2 linked regions of the Rhinolophus ferrumequinum genome follow. The protein of the gene in region 1 interacts with the protein of each later gene in a pairwise test. Links are inferred from orthologs where the notes say so. Each region holds a gene or a part of one and is shown on either strand. Other genes may lie near its edges.

Region 1 (7,333 bases):
AAGAACACGAGAGCATCAGAAGATGATAATGCACCACCTGGGAGGGCAACAGAGGGGACAAGATAAAAGCAACTACTCTCCTCTGGCCCTGGGAACAGCCTAAACTGGGAAAGTTGGTAGGTCAAAGGGAAGGGTCAGCTCTAAGAACATTCCAAAGACAGAAAAACAGGACCCAGCATATAACCTACCTCTACACACTTACACAAGTGAGTCAACAATTTCAAGTCACAAAGTGCTAGAGGAAAACATGGCCTTAGACGGGAAAAGGATACCCCTTGGAGAGGGCAGCTAAATAAGCCCTGACAATTAAGTACGTGAATATGCTCAATAAATGTGTGGGTTTGAATTAGTCATCCTGCTTACAAAATATCTATCGGACCTGTCTCTCCTCCCACTCCTCCCTTTGGCCACATTTCTGGCAACCACACCAACGGCCTGACACTGCTAGGCACTCAATAAATACCTGACCAACATATTATATGAATAAATCAATGCTAACGAGCAATAAATACAAACTTCAAATAGTGTTGGCATCTCAGGAAAGAAGTTTGGTAGGGAAAGTGGGTGCAACTGAGATTGAGGTGAGGTGCCCCAAAAGGCCAATAGAGATCTCCTTGGGATCACCTGGTAACTTCATGGAATAATGTGGCTGCAATCCAGTGTTTTGAGGCTCTAGCCTGAGGTGGGGGGCTTGCAGATTTTTATTTGACCAAATACATAATTATAAAACAAAAGTTAAGGATACATGTGCCACCAAATATTAATTTAACTAGGTATAGGGACGGAGTCCCAGAGAGTTTCCAGGCTCTCGACCTCACCTGGAAAGGTGCTGGCTTGGGTAGTAGATGGCCATCAGCTGTGACTAGTTAGCCATTAGCCACTAGTATAACTGCCGTGGCTAGGCTAGGGGACTGGTTAGTTGGCAGACAAACGGACTGCGGATTGCGGATGACACAGTTAGCAAGCATGGTTAGCAAGTGCGGACTGCGGCTAGCAAGTGGGGTTATTAGCAAGCGTGGATGGCGGGTTGTGGATCGTGTGGATCCTACTTCCTGTGTCTCAACCAGCCGCCATCGAGAATATAGTGGTATAACTCCCCTATCTATGGCTCCGTGGGTGCCGGGAGCAGGAGCTGAGACCCCGCATGACACTAGGTTAATAGGAAAACTAAGATATGAGGCTTTTCTAATTGTATCAATTTCATTTACCTGTCCATTAGCTAGCTACTCACTGTATCCAGGCACTTTGAAATTTCAGTGTCATGCAGGGTCTCTGGTCCCGCTCCCCACATAAGAACGCAGGATATGGCGAGGCCAAAAAGGACCACCCACAGAGCCATAGATAGGGGAGTCATACCACTATATTCTCCCTGGCAGCTGCCAACCAACCCACCCCTCACTAACTGCAATCCGCGCTTGCTAGCTCAGTCACAGCAGTTATATCAGTGGCCAACTAATAACCCAGCCAGCACCTTTCCACGTAAGGCCGAGAGCCGGGAAACTGCTCTGTCCCCAGATTCAGTTTACTGTCCCAATCTTGCAGTTGAGGCACTGAATCCCAAAAGCAGATCCGGATTACACATTTTACACACTTTCTGTGAATTCCCACAGAAAGTCTTATTGCTAAGCAGAAACTTATTGCTAAGTCTTATTGCTTATTGAAAGTCTCATTGCTAAGCAGACTTGGAACAAGCCAGAACAGGGCGGCTGTGCAACTGGTGGAAGGGCACTGTAACAGGAGTCACTCACTTCGGGTTCAATAGGATCCTTGGCCAGTCCTTCTTACAGAACATGCTGAAACAGTTTACCACATGGGCCCCTCACACTTAACCAGGCTGCTTGGGGAGCAAACATCATCTATCTATGCAAAATAACTTTACAAGCTAATGCATTATCAACTGAAAAAAAAACAAACTATCATGACAAAAAAGGAACTCTGATATCATTTTCTAAGAAGTAGAAAAGAAAGACAAAAAGCCAGTAAAGCCAAAGAAACTCCACCTAAGGGCAGAGATACTCTACTTGGCTCCCACACTGCTCTAATTAAGATAATTAAGTTGACAAACCCACTCAGGGGAAAAGACTCCACTAACAAACAGCATCACACCCACCGCTTAACAAACAAGTGGGGCCACGACCACACCGAGTAACAGCTAAACAACTCCGCACCTAAACCCTAAAAAACAGCATCCTCCAGACTTCAGGTATCCACCCGACCCCGTCGAAGGGAGGTTTAAAGCTGCAGTCTTTCCCCTTCCCTCTGGCGAGCACACTCAGAGGTGTTAGCGCAAGCTAAAACGGCCTTGGAGTGAAATTTCAATGCTATTTTCAGACAGCTCTCCACCGGCTTCCCAGGAAAGTGAAGACAAGACCTCTCAGCCGCCCCAGCAGGCGTCGGTTTCCATTTGTTGATAAGGAAACCTCACGGCAAGTCCCTTCCATTCCCACTCAGCATCAGACAACACCAGGCTCCACGGTGCAAACTATTATCCGGCCAGACAAGGAGTCTTTAGAAAGCTCAACTTAGGGGACTCGCCTCCAATCGATCCCGCATCTAACTGGCCTTTAAGGAGCCGGAAACAAGGGGTCTAACCCGGGTCAAGTGCGCACTCTCTCCCCTCTCACGCAGCCCACGTCCTTCCAGGAACCGGGCGAACGCCGGCAGTGCCCAGAGCGCGCGACACGAACCCATCACGCCGAGTACAGGCGCCCACGCCCCTGAACTGCTCACCCTCACGTGGTTCTTCACTGCTAAGTGGCCCGCCAGCTTCTTGGCCTCCTCGGCCTTGGACATCGTGGAGGGGTCCAGGAACACGCTGTTGGCTTTCCGGCTGCTGGTGTTTGTTCGGCCAGCACCGCCGCTAGTCCCGGACTGGGCGCACCCAGGCGGCTGCACGTGGGAGCCTGGGACGCCCCAACTGTTCCCGCCTCTGCCAGAGGCCGCGCCCCCGGCCCGCCCGGGCAGTGGGGCCAGGACCCGCCCGTAGAGGGTGCTGAAGGGCCCAGGACGCTGCATCCCGACGCCTGACTCCAGCCTCTGCCACAGTCCCGCCCCCGGTTCTTCCGGAAGTCTAATCGTTTATGCACAAGACCTGCGCCGGCGCGGGCCTTACTGGGAAATGTAGTTCTTTGGCTTCGGTAGCCCGAAGCTGCGCCCCTGTCTGGACTATCAGCCCCACAATGCTCTGCGACCTGTACGCAAAACGCGGGCGACGGGCTTTGGCGCTTAGACCAGTATGGCGGGAGTAACGGAAGGTTAGGTGAATCTTAGAGATTTTTCTATCTGCCCATGCTTCGGAGGAGAGGGTGTTAGACCTGACCATATTGTTTTTCCCAGCAATAAGAATGTGGCAATGGGCGAGACCTCAGGGCAGTCGCTCTTTTGGAGACGTCCTTTTCGGAGTGACTTCTCTAAACTCACTCCCTTGGCAAACGCATGTGGCATCCCTGCGCCTGCTGAAGTCTGTCCTAGACCTGGGAAGGCCCAGGACTACAAGTTTAGAACCGGCAGCACTAGACGTGGTCCTGCACTTTGCGATATTGGATGGTGTGCGTCGTCCAAATCAATCCTGGTCCCTCAGAGACCCCACAATCCTAGTTGACTTACAAGCACTTTGACTGAACTTAAAAGTTTTCTCTACCTGTAAGGTGTATTGCTGTAGGGAATAGTACAGACTGGACAATTTTTATTGTCTCTTTATTACAAGAGAGGAGGCCAATGCTGACCCCAGCTGTACCTACTGTGGGGACAGAGCCAGGAGTGCAGTTTCCAGGCTCTCGACCTCACGTGGAAAGGTGCTGGCTCAGGTAGTAAATGGCCATCAACTGTGATTGGATGGCCATCAGCTGTGGCTAGTTGGCCGTCAGCTGTAACCAGTGAGCCATTGGCCACTAATATAACTGCTGTGGCTAAGCTAGCAGAGAAAATGGGGGCTAGCAAGAAGAGGGTGGCAGGCAAGCGTGGACTGCAGTTAGCACAGCGGAGTGCGGGTTGCAGATTGCAGAGAAGTGGACAGTGGTTGCAGATAGTGTGGCTCCTGCTTCCTGTGTCTCCAACCCAGCCTCCAGTATGACTCCCCTCTTTATGGCTCCGTGGGTGTTCCTTTTTGGCCTCACCATATCCTGCATTCTTATGTGGGGAGCGGGAGCTGAGACCCCCCCGCATGACACCCTGCATGACACATGGCACAGCGAGCAGGGTCTCCCGCAGGCCGCCCCACACGACACCTACTACTTGGAGGTCCTTAAAAAGCAGGTAGCTTTTGTGCTTCTTGCCCATGTTGGTGGAATCCCATCTGCCCACAAACTCATCTTCAGATTCTGGACCTTCTCCCTCTTGGGTGTGTGCAAAGCACCAGTATGGTCCACTGTTAAATCACTCTCTCACATTCTCTTTGCTGTGCCCACTGAGGCTGTCAGCCCTGGGACCTCCACCTTAGTCTAAGGAGGAAAAGTTATTTGAGGGGATGTTTGAATCCTAAGTTTTAGGCAGAATTTTAAATCTGGCTAAGATGCAGGACAAAATACAGAGGATGCCAAAAAAAGATGAATATACAAGTCACATTTGACTTCTGCAATTATAAGAGGTGCTCAGAGTGGTTACCATCAGTGTCCAGACACTTCTGATTAAGGCGAACTGCTTGAGCAACGTTGACCAAAGTGTCCACTTGTACACACTTTTTTGGCACCCCTAGTATTTTTGGCACCACACACACACACACACACACACACACACACACGCTGTTGGTCTCTGCAGGGTTGAGGGCCACGTGAATCAAACTTGTGACATTTTCTGCCTCCCGTTAGGGGCAATCTTTCCCCCATTGAGGCTCTTCACTCACTAACCAAAGGTTGGAGCAATTGGTAGTAGCCAATCTGCTTTACCGCTCCAGCCTGCGGACATTTGCATCTGGTTTCCCACCACATTAAATGCTCCGACTGACCATCTGCCTGTCTCTGCACTGCCAACTCCATCTTACCCTTCACTCAGCTCAAATGCCACCTCCTCAGAGTCTTCCTGATCCTTATCTAAATTGAGTTCCCACCCATCCATCCTCTATCACTTTACCCATTGTTTATTCCCACCATAGAAGTTTCCTCAATCGTTTATTTGTTTATTTAGTTTTGTACTTGTTTACCATCTATCCTCCAGGAAATAATATTTCTGAGAAGAGGGGCTTTGCTTTTTCCCTACAGCATCCTCCATGTGTCAGTCATATAGATGGTCCACCACAAATACCTAAAGCTGATTGGATAACAGATTTTGTGCCTCAACCCCACACTCCTACTTCAGCTATACAATTTCAGTCTCGCTGGGCATGTCTTACCTCCATATCTTTGCACAAACTGTACCCCTCTAACTCTCAGATGTTCTTAAGGACTCCACTCTGTTACCTGTTACTCTGAACCCCACTCCTAGCTGGTTTTGTAAAGGTGACCTTATCCTTCTATTTTGAGATTTTAAACCTCTGATGTAATTCAATTTGACAGTGGTTTGGCTAAGGACTTTTTGAAAGTCTTTTCTTTGCTTCTTTTCCCTCCAGTCAAATTTTGATGATTCTGTTTACTTTGCATTTACTATCACACCCACCAGTTTCAATGGTTCTGTTTACTTTGGGGCTGCGGAGAGGTTTTTGCATTTATATGGGATCTTCTCCTGACCCTGAGGCATGTTGGCCTTTGGGAAGTGTTTTTCCTGGAGTAGCTGGGCCAACTTCTCCTTTTTCTTTGTTCTGCCTCTCCTTGCATGCCTATAAAACCTTTTGGCGGTATTAGGAGCGGGAAGGCAGACTTTGTGACAAGGAGTCCACTGTCTTCCCTTAATGCTGTCATTTTGGAATAAACCTGCTTTTCTTTCCACCAACCTTGCCGCTGAAGTTTTGGCTTTCATGCGGCGAGCAGCTGGACCTTTGGCACAGTAACAGGTTGACTGCTCCTCTGTGCTTCCAATCACCGGTAGCCTTTCTTTTCTTTATTGGATACACAGCACCTAACTCAATATTTGGGGAGTGAGCAATGTTCTATAAAATTCTACCTGCCTGTGCCTCTGTTTTTCCTTCTCTCCATCTTGTGATCATTTCTCATTCCCGCCCCACTTAACCCTTCTCCTCAGGTCTGCCAATGAATGATGCCGAGTGACTCTCCTGGAATTCTGAAATCCCACTGGCAACTCTTGAGGCTGAAGACTATGCTGATCCTTGGAACGGTATGAGCAGCACGTCCCTATGACAGTTTTTACTTGTATATTGGGTGAGAACAGTGCCAGGCACTATGCTAAATGCTTTGCTGGTGTCATCACATTTAATCCTAGCAACTCCAAGACCTGGGTACTATCATCCCCATTGTACAAAGGAGGCGTGAAGAAGTCCTGTCTTACCCAAGGTCACACTGCTCATAAGTGAAGCTGGGATGCAAACTTGCAGTGATTCTAGGACCAAACTTTGATTTGATAGAATCACTCATATGGAGATTTATTAATCTCCCCAACACCACCACCAATAAAGCCCTGAACTTTGTATAAACCACACAAGTAATCTTTTCTCTTTAAAATCACAAGTAATAACAATAAACCTAGAGACAAAATGGTTAATAAGGATGGGGGGAGGGAAGGCAGAAAAAAAAAAAACTTTAAATGAGGAAGCACTAAAAGGGAAGTATAGTTTTTGGATGCTGGATTACTTTCAGGGGCTCACAAAGGTGAGATCAATCTGCTTTATAATCCTAACCTGACAAAAATTCTAATTTTTTTTCTAGATTCCTCAAACTGGGAAGAATCACATGGGGGTCATTTTTCCCTCTTTCATGGAACCTGAAATCCTTGGAAAAGAGATTTCAGGGCCAGAATGAAGGATCACAGGGCAGAGCCCACCATCCTGCACTGTTAGTGGTGGTGGTATTTGTTGCATGTATCTCTCCACTTTACTTTTTATCCAATCTCAGAGACTTCCCCACTTTGCTTCCCGCCTCCCTAATATACTACCAATGGATTTCATGACCCCCCTCTGTCTCCTCCTTTGATTCTGATGTATAAAATAAGCTGTAAAACTGACCTTCTCTGTAGCATTTTCTCAATCCATTGAGATTTTGCTTCCCAGCAACTGTCAGTTTGGCTCAGATAAACTCTTATGAGACTTTTTCTTAGGCTGGATGTTCTTTTGTCAACAACTACAATAAAGTTAATTTTTAAAAAGTGATTCGTTACAGTGCCCCCTGCAACTAAGATTGAACACGGCACCTTGAGCTGAGCTGCTGCTGAGCTCCCAGATGGCTCAGTTGGTTGGAGCGCATCCTCCTCAACCACAAGGTTGCTGGTTCAACTCCCACAAGGGATGGTG
Region 2 (7,887 bases), on another chromosome or scaffold:
TCCCATATATAAAATGGCAAAGAACAATGCATTCAGTCAGCATGCCGCATCCGCGGATTCCCAACCGCTGATTAAAAATACTGTTTTCAACCACGGGTTGGTTGAATCTGCTGAAGACCAATCAGGGATACAAAGGGCTGCCTGTATATTTATTGAAAAAAATCCATTTATAAATTGACCCATGATGTTCAAACCCGTGTTGTTCAAGGGTCTACTGTACAAATTCTTGGGAGCCTCAGCAATCTGTCTTAATCAGTTTCAACCAGCTCTCCAGGTGATCAAATATGCTCCACTTTTAGACCACTGTTTTAAGTTATTAAAGAGCAGTTGTCATCACAACATAAGCTATGAGATATTAGGAGATGTACCATTATAGTCTAAAATAATCTATAAACGGTATATCAACTACGAAATCATACATAATCATGCTTCTATTGTGATTTATAAAAGAAATCTACAGTAGATATTTTCAACAATTACAATATTAAAATGAAACCAATTATGAACTTCATTTCTTTAAAAAAAAATTAAAACCATAATTTGCTTCCTCTTCAGGTTTGCAGATCCTTTTTTCTTCAACATCAACATCATCACATTTTAATCTTTTTCTAAAGACTCAATTAGAAGCCTTCAGGAAAGCTTCCAGTGGAACCACCAGGAAAAAGAGCAATTTTCAAATTTTGTGCCAATTGAAATGTTTACATGAGCAAATATTACTTTTATAATAAACTAATAAATAAAAATGACACCTATTAGCTGGAATGAATTTAACAAGAAGTTGAAACTAAAGTTACAAAAGGGTTACAAAAGACGCTAAACAATATGAGTACTCTAATTTCCTCTTACCATAGATCTACTATAAAACTAAATATCTACAATATCAACATGCACATTAAATATTTCTTATCAGATTCGCTGATAGAACAACATCCTTAGGAGTTTCAGCTAAGAATAGTAATGCAATACGTTAAAGTGGGAAAAGATCTAGTCTTGGCTTACTATAAATTTGGCCCCAAAAGGAGAGACTTTAAGAGCCTGATTGATTACAAGCTTCTGCCACAGCCAAGTGTCTACTAAGATAACCTACCGGTGGAAAATTACCTAATCACAATTCGAGTGTAGAATGTTTCAGGTGTATATACTGCAACAGCAGACACTAGATCATTGTAAGAAATTTTATAAAAGTACTTACAACGTATTGAGCTTATGTGCAATCCATGGGGAACCTAAATGGCACCTAATAATGCTGTCTCAGCATATAAATGCCCATTTCCAATCAAATATCCTTCAATAAAGTGAATACTGGCAATGCTTGACAGAATTTTAAAATCTAAATATTCTTCATTACTAAACACTAAGGCCATGATTTCCAAGTATCAAATACTGTTTTAAAAAACGTCAAATGACTAATATTAAGTACTAACCATGCGCCAGATAGTGCTATTTCTCTAACTCATCGGAATATTCCTAGCACAGATCCAAGCATATAACGTACATTTAATTGGCATTTACGGAAAAAAAAAGGAATGAGTATTAATTTCTTTGAGAGGATTCACAGGTAATTTTTAAAAGTCCCAGAGGTTACCAATTGGATTAGGAAATATGACAGACACATGAAAAGCTAAATAACCTATGACAATTAAAAATATCACGTGGCAAGGTATGCTTATTTGCAGTTAGTGGCAAAGAGAGTGCTATAAATTCTGACCAGAGTATTATGGGCTGCAATCCTGGTTTCCCCACCACACCGCGACACTACACTTCGATTTAAAAAAAGAAAGTGACACAGCACTCATCCCGCCCTAAAATTATCATCAGAGGAAGGAATACAATAACTCAAGAGAAGGATATAAAGAAACTTCCACGCAAGGCTTTTAACGCATATGGCAGTCCTGAAAAAAGTTAGATTAGACACACACACACACACACACACACACACACACACACACACACACACATACTCGTTCGTTGGATTCCAGGACCTCTAAAGGCTCCTTAAACACAAGTCTCTCAGGAACAGCATCCCGATTATTTCTTCCTCCGCCCCCCACGAAGCTTTCCACTGGACAGCCGCCCCAGAAATTTCTCCCAGCATCCGCAACGACAATACTCTCATCTTCCTCTCCCTCCCCTCGCCTGTATCAGACGGTGGCATCTCCCTCCAGAGGAAAAAACGGAGGGCGGGGGAGGCAGAATAGGAGAGAGCGCTCGCAGCGAGGTCGATCACGAAGACGACGGAGGTGAGAAGACGCGGGGGGCCAGGGTGGACCCCTCAGTTCCAGACCAGACTCTAGGAGGCCTAGCCAACATCTCCCCACCCCGAGTGCACGCCCCTCGCCCGCCGGACCCGGACGTCCAGGAGAAGGACTCGAGTGACAGCCCCACCACCTGTGCCGCGCCCTCTCCTCCCAGGTCTCTGGGGAGACGCCTGCCCCTGCCCCACCAGCAGCGGCCGCGGGCTCTTTCTCTCCCCTTCCAGTCCACGTAGCCAATGAGTGACAGGTCCCGGGGGACGCGATCGCAAGCGCATGCCGTTCGGGACTGCTGGTGCAACCCTGGGCCGAAGCCCTCCAGCAGACACGGGGGAGGAGGGGCGAGAGAACGCTCCGGACAGCCCGGGGGACTCTGTCCAGGCCTGGCCTGCCCCAGTTGCCCCACACCCAGCGGGGGTGGCACTTACTGCAGAGATTGTGGATTAGCTCCGAGTGGCTGGCGCCGCCGGATTTCCAGGCCATCGCTAAGCACACCCGGAGCAGGTACAGAACCACCTTCAGCGCGGCGACGGTGCCCAGCAGCTTCCCCAAGAGTGAGACCACCTCCCACACGGTCACCGGCCCGCTGGCGTCCCCGCTGTTGCCGCCGCTGTGACTGCCGTCGCCGCCGCTGCCGCCACTGCGCGCTCCCGGCATCCCCCGCGGCACGCATGCGCTCTGTGACGCCTGGCGGCCTCGGGTGCGGCTGGGTGGGGCCGGAGGCGGGGGTGGCCCCGAGTCCAGCCGCCCCCGTTGGTGGCTGCTGCGGCTGCCGGAGACCGGCGGAGAGGCCAGGCAGAGTTAGCGCCGCCGCCGCCGCCGCCCCCGCCGCTCCGTGCCCCCTTATGAGGCCTCGGGCTGCAAACCGCCTCCTTGTTCGGTTCGCCCTGCGGCCAGGCGGCGTGGGCCCGGCTGCGGTGGGTCGCGTGCCCGGCTGAGGCTCTGGTCGCCGAGCGCGGTTGCAGGATAGCGGTGCCTTTCTGTGACGTCGCGTCTGGACGATCTGGTTCCGCCGCTGCCGGTAGCTCCGCAGTCTCCGTTGGGTCAGCTGTTGCGAGCGGCGGGTCTGCTCCTATAGCTGCCCAGATTATTAGACGGTGGGCTTCCTCCGTCCTGCCTCACCCAACCCTGTTGACTAATATTTAGGTCGGTTAGAGTCAGAGCTTTCTGGTGCAGCCTGAATAATATTAATAGCACCAGAGAGCAAAGGCCCTCTCTAACCCGAGTTCGGCAGCCTCTGGCTTTATGACAACTACATCGGTGTTCGGTTAGAGAGACTTCGCAGCCCCTGGTTTGTTCTCAATTCTAAAGTACAAATTCAGAGAGTAGAAGAATAACATGACATGTGGGGGCGAGGAATGCTTTACTCACCAGAACAATGCAATTGGTTAAAAATACCACAGTATTCTATCTATATCCAATGTATTACTCTAACACAAGTGTGAGCTTTCAGCAAATTAAACCTCGCAAATGGTACCGTTAAACTGGACATCAGTACTATTGCTGTCATCTCTGCAAGACTGAGCAGCTGAAAGGGAGCATTGCTTGTCGCATTCAACTTGCTGACTCCTAATCAGAACTGATACTGACAGAATCCAATCATCCAGTCCAATAAAATTTTAAGGAAGAAAAAGTTATGTCAAAACATTATGCGCCAGCAGCAATTTTCAAATTCTAGTTCTTTCCAGATGTCAAATGTGATACTCAGCCTACTTCCAATACAAAAAATATGTTACGTATTTTCTGGAATTCTGTGACCATAAATGAAACCACACTCAAAACCGTGTTCTTTACTTCAATAGTAGGAATAAAACTGTCAGTGTGGGATTAAGTTTTCCATTTCATCTCTCTGCAGTTTCCTATTGTAGTCCATTTAAAAAAAGCCTCAATCCTCAATAAGACCTGATAACTCTCTAAAGCTGACAACCAACACATCATTATGAATACAGTATAAAGGAGATTTTTAGAAAGATGAATAAGTCACACCTCTTATGTATGCAATAGGATTTACATTCTAATTGGGGAGATCAGCATCAAAATAAAACTAGCAACAGAGGACAAAACTTAAGTGCTATTAGTGGCCAAAATTAGGGGTCTAAAGTGCTATGTTTATTTAAGATCACGGGCTGGAATAATCAGGAAAAGATAACAGGAAGGAACTGGTCCTTGAAAGATGGGTAGGATCCCAAGAAGTAAAGAAGACTATACGGGTATTATTACAGGTGTAACCAAGAGCACTGGAAGAACCTACAGCACTGATTCCTGGGCTGTCGATGTTACATATCAAACTTAATTGTTAATACATATATAAGTCAATTGAAGAAGGTTGGGCAATGGTCATGAAAACTAGAACTGGAGTCTTCAGCATTCCAACTCCAGGCTTTGCAAGTGTGCGTTAAGAACTTTGAAGCAAAGAATTTGTTTGGGAGACAGAGGGAGAGGTTTAGAATAATAAGTTGGTGTGTTAATGGCGTGCACTTCCATGAGAATTTAAGGATTTGAATAATCTATGCACAGTGAAATGCAAAGCTGAATGTTTAGGTGCGGCTACTTGGTGGTTTCTCTTAAATTTGTTTTAACATTGCACAGTTATTGGATGAATGCATTGTGTCAGTGTTCCTAAACTGATTTTGAAGATTAGGAGCAGGTCCCACAGTACCAGGACCAGCACACTTGTTGCCTCTGTTAAAAAACGCGTGGGTAAGGAAGAGCGTCAAAGCTTCCTTCTGCTTGGGAGCTGGTGGTCCCCTCATTGCCGACCGCAGAGAATTGGCTCTCCGCAGCCACCGTCCGTCCCGTAAGGTCCAGTCCAATCAGAGCTCCGCGGGAGGGGGCGGGACTAAGAGGCGCGCGCTGTGCTTTTTGCTGTCTCCGCCGCGGTTAATTTCGGCATGGAGGAGTTTTATGCTAAGTACGTGTCTCAGAAAATCAGCAAAACCCGCTGGCGACCGGTACCTCCGGGAAGTCTGCAGACCGCGGAGATCTTCGCTACGGGCTCTTGGGACAATGAGGTATCTCCGTTCCCGGGCCAGGAAGCCCCTGTCTCCTCCCCCTCTTTGTTCCCCGCCCGGGAAGCCCCTGCGACCCCCCGGCCGCCTGCGCGCGAATTCTCTTGCCTTCTACATCCTCTCACTTTTCTCCATCCCCCGAGTCCCTGTCGCGGGCTCGGTTGACCTGTACCCCAGCCATCGATGGTATGTGCCTTAGCCTCGAATCTCGTGTTTTAAACTATCACCACACTGTCACCACTATTCTGAGATGCTTTCAAAGCAAGGTTGCCTGTAGGCAATACAAATGTTAATTTCCGAAAGTTTAACGTAATATTTCATCTCAAGGTAAAACTTGCTGCTTTACAGGAAAATTATGTTTCACTGTGGTCTATTGGAGATTTTGGGAACTTGGACTCTGATGGAGGGTTTGAAGGAGACCATCAGTTACTGTGCGGTACCAGACACCATGGTGATGTTATGGATTTACAAGTAAGTAACATCTTTTTTGGATGTATAATATCCAAAAGCTAACTTTTAAAAAACACTCATACATTTAGAGATGTAAAGGACCTTACATTTTCCTGGGTCTACAGGAAACTGAGTTCTCTATAGGTTATGATTTTTGAACATCATATAGCCACTTAATGTTAGAATCAGGAGTGGGGAAGGCGATGTGGGTTTAACCCTAGTTTTTGAATCCTAGGGTTTTTTTGTTTGTTTGTTTTTTGTGTTTTTTTTGTTTTTTTTTTTTTTAGTTGACCATCTACTGTATGCCAAGCACTATTTGGGGAGCTTCACATAATTCTCATTGCATGCTTGTGAATCAAGTATTGTTATCTCTGTTTTATCAATGAGAAAACTGAGATTAAGATCTTTTGAGCAAGTGCTGTGTGACAAATACTGTTCGAGTTACTTTACATGTGTTTTGCTCTTTGAATTCTCACAACTCCCTAAGTAGGGATTAGTTCTCTCCTTTTAAAGGTTTACCTAGACTTAAAACAATTTAACTTGGCCAAAGTCTCAAAGCCAATAGTAAGTGGTGGGACTGAAATTAAGTTTTCAAATCCTGGTATGTGTGACTTCAGAGTCACTGTGTTTTCTTCAATAGTAACTTGCCTCACCTTACTTTTCTAAACCTTTATGATAGTGGTCCAGAATTAACTAAATCAGTTTTAGGGGAATGAGTTTAGGGAAAAAAATTGTTATTTTTTTTCCTTCACAAAAATACTTATATTGGTATTGGAATTTTTACTTTCAGGTCTGTCATCACATTTTATTTGCTTAGCATTTATAGGCTCTTTGCATTTTAAAACTATTATTACTACTAATTAAGTTAAACAAATGGGCTTCCACTTTACTGGTATTTCTCAATCCATAACAAGCATGAATTTTCTGTTTAGTTTTTTGACCAGGAAAGAATGGTAGCTGCTTCATCAACAGGATGTGTAACAGTTTTCCTTTACCGTCCAAATAACCAGGTAAAGAAATTTTGTTTGAAAACTTAATTAATTTGTATTTTCATTATTTTTAGGAAGGCTTTAAAAAGACTGTTTTTAATAATGACACAAATAATAAAATTATATAGTCTCAAAATATGGAGGGGAAAAACATCGTTATATTACCCAACTTTTAGTAGACTAATTTTAGAACCGTGTTTGTGTGTGCTTGTATTGAATTTGGTTATCTCTTAAATTCTGTTAGTCTAGAGTCTAGACTTAACAATCTAGTATTCTGGCAAGGAATTTTCCTGTAATTCTGTTTTAAGTTCCCATTTTGGTCTTTGAAGAAAGAGCACCTTTTAGTTAAGGTATCATGAGAGAAAACAGGAACAGCTACTTTGCTTCTGTGGATAGAACCTGGGTTTTAATTAGAAGAGAGGATACTCTGTGTGAAGACTTGACATTTTTTCAGTGCCTTTCCTGTGTGCTGAAGCCTAAGAGTACTGACCTTCAGAGCATAGTGTTGAGGGCATTCCTTTAAAATAGGTAGTCCCACTTGTAATAGTTTTAAGTTGCTAGAAGAGAGTGCTTATTTAGACTTTGGAATTAATAAAGGTCACGTTGCTAATAGGCATGTCTAGAAAATATAAGACCCGGGTCTTATTAAGTATTAATGGAATCCTTTAGAAAGCATTATAGAGATTTATTTCTTAGATGTAGGCTAATTCCCTTAAGAATTTAAAGTTGCTTTTGAACACACAACTACCTGATACCTCAAAACCGTTTCTTTAGTTTGAGATAAGATTGGCCTATTATTGAACAATGGTCTTTTGAATCTAATCCAGTGTATACAGAGCTTTGATGGAAGTAGTTTCTAGGCTTTAATACTTGGAAATAAAAAGGAAAAAGGAGAGAGTTGTCCTTTTGCTAGAAGGGTATGAGACGGAATTTTAAAATACTCTTTAGTTGGGAAAAAGTGCTATGTTTTTAGAGCTTTGCTTTGATTAATCATATTGTCATTTCTGACACCTAGACACTGTCCGTCAGCCAGCAGTGGACAGCAGCTCACCACCACACCGGTCTGGGCAGTCCTTCCTGCAGCAGTGCGCCATGTACGGGGGTTGTGTGCAGCAATCCAGACATTGTCACCGTCGGAGAAGATGGTCGAATCAATCTCTTCAGAGTTGATCACAAGGAAGCTGTGAG

The links. The genes of interacting proteins can lie anywhere in the genome.
Region 2: the proteins of RPIA (region 1) and PCMT1 interact in binary tests that used the Homo sapiens proteins (3 or more experiments, as listed by UniProt). The two-hybrid records come from large-scale screens. The link is inferred for Rhinolophus ferrumequinum from reciprocal best matches to the Homo sapiens genes RPIA and PCMT1.

The regions. Positions count from the first base shown.
Region 1 is NC_046296.1:7,200,908-7,208,240, reverse strand, and holds the start of RPIA (ribose-5-phosphate isomerase), read right to left. Parts: upstream 3,046-7,333; 5' UTR 3,016-3,045; coding exon 2,731-3,015; intron 1-2,730. UniProt on the Homo sapiens protein: Catalyzes the reversible conversion of ribose-5-phosphate to ribulose 5-phosphate and participates in the first step of the non-oxidative branch of the pentose phosphate pathway.
Region 2 is NC_046286.1:93,112,096-93,119,982, reverse strand, and holds the start of PCMT1 (protein-L-isoaspartate(D-aspartate) O-methyltransferase), read right to left. Parts: upstream 3,062-7,887; 5' UTR 2,910-3,061; coding exon 2,681-2,909; intron 1-2,680. Other genes in the region: nucleoporin Nup43, read left to right, coding at 5,144-5,263, 5,609-5,731, 6,643-6,720, 7,715-7,887. UniProt on the Homo sapiens protein: Initiates the repair of damaged proteins by catalyzing methyl esterification of L-isoaspartyl and D-aspartyl residues produced by spontaneous isomerization and racemization of L-aspartyl and L-asparaginyl residues in aging peptides and proteins.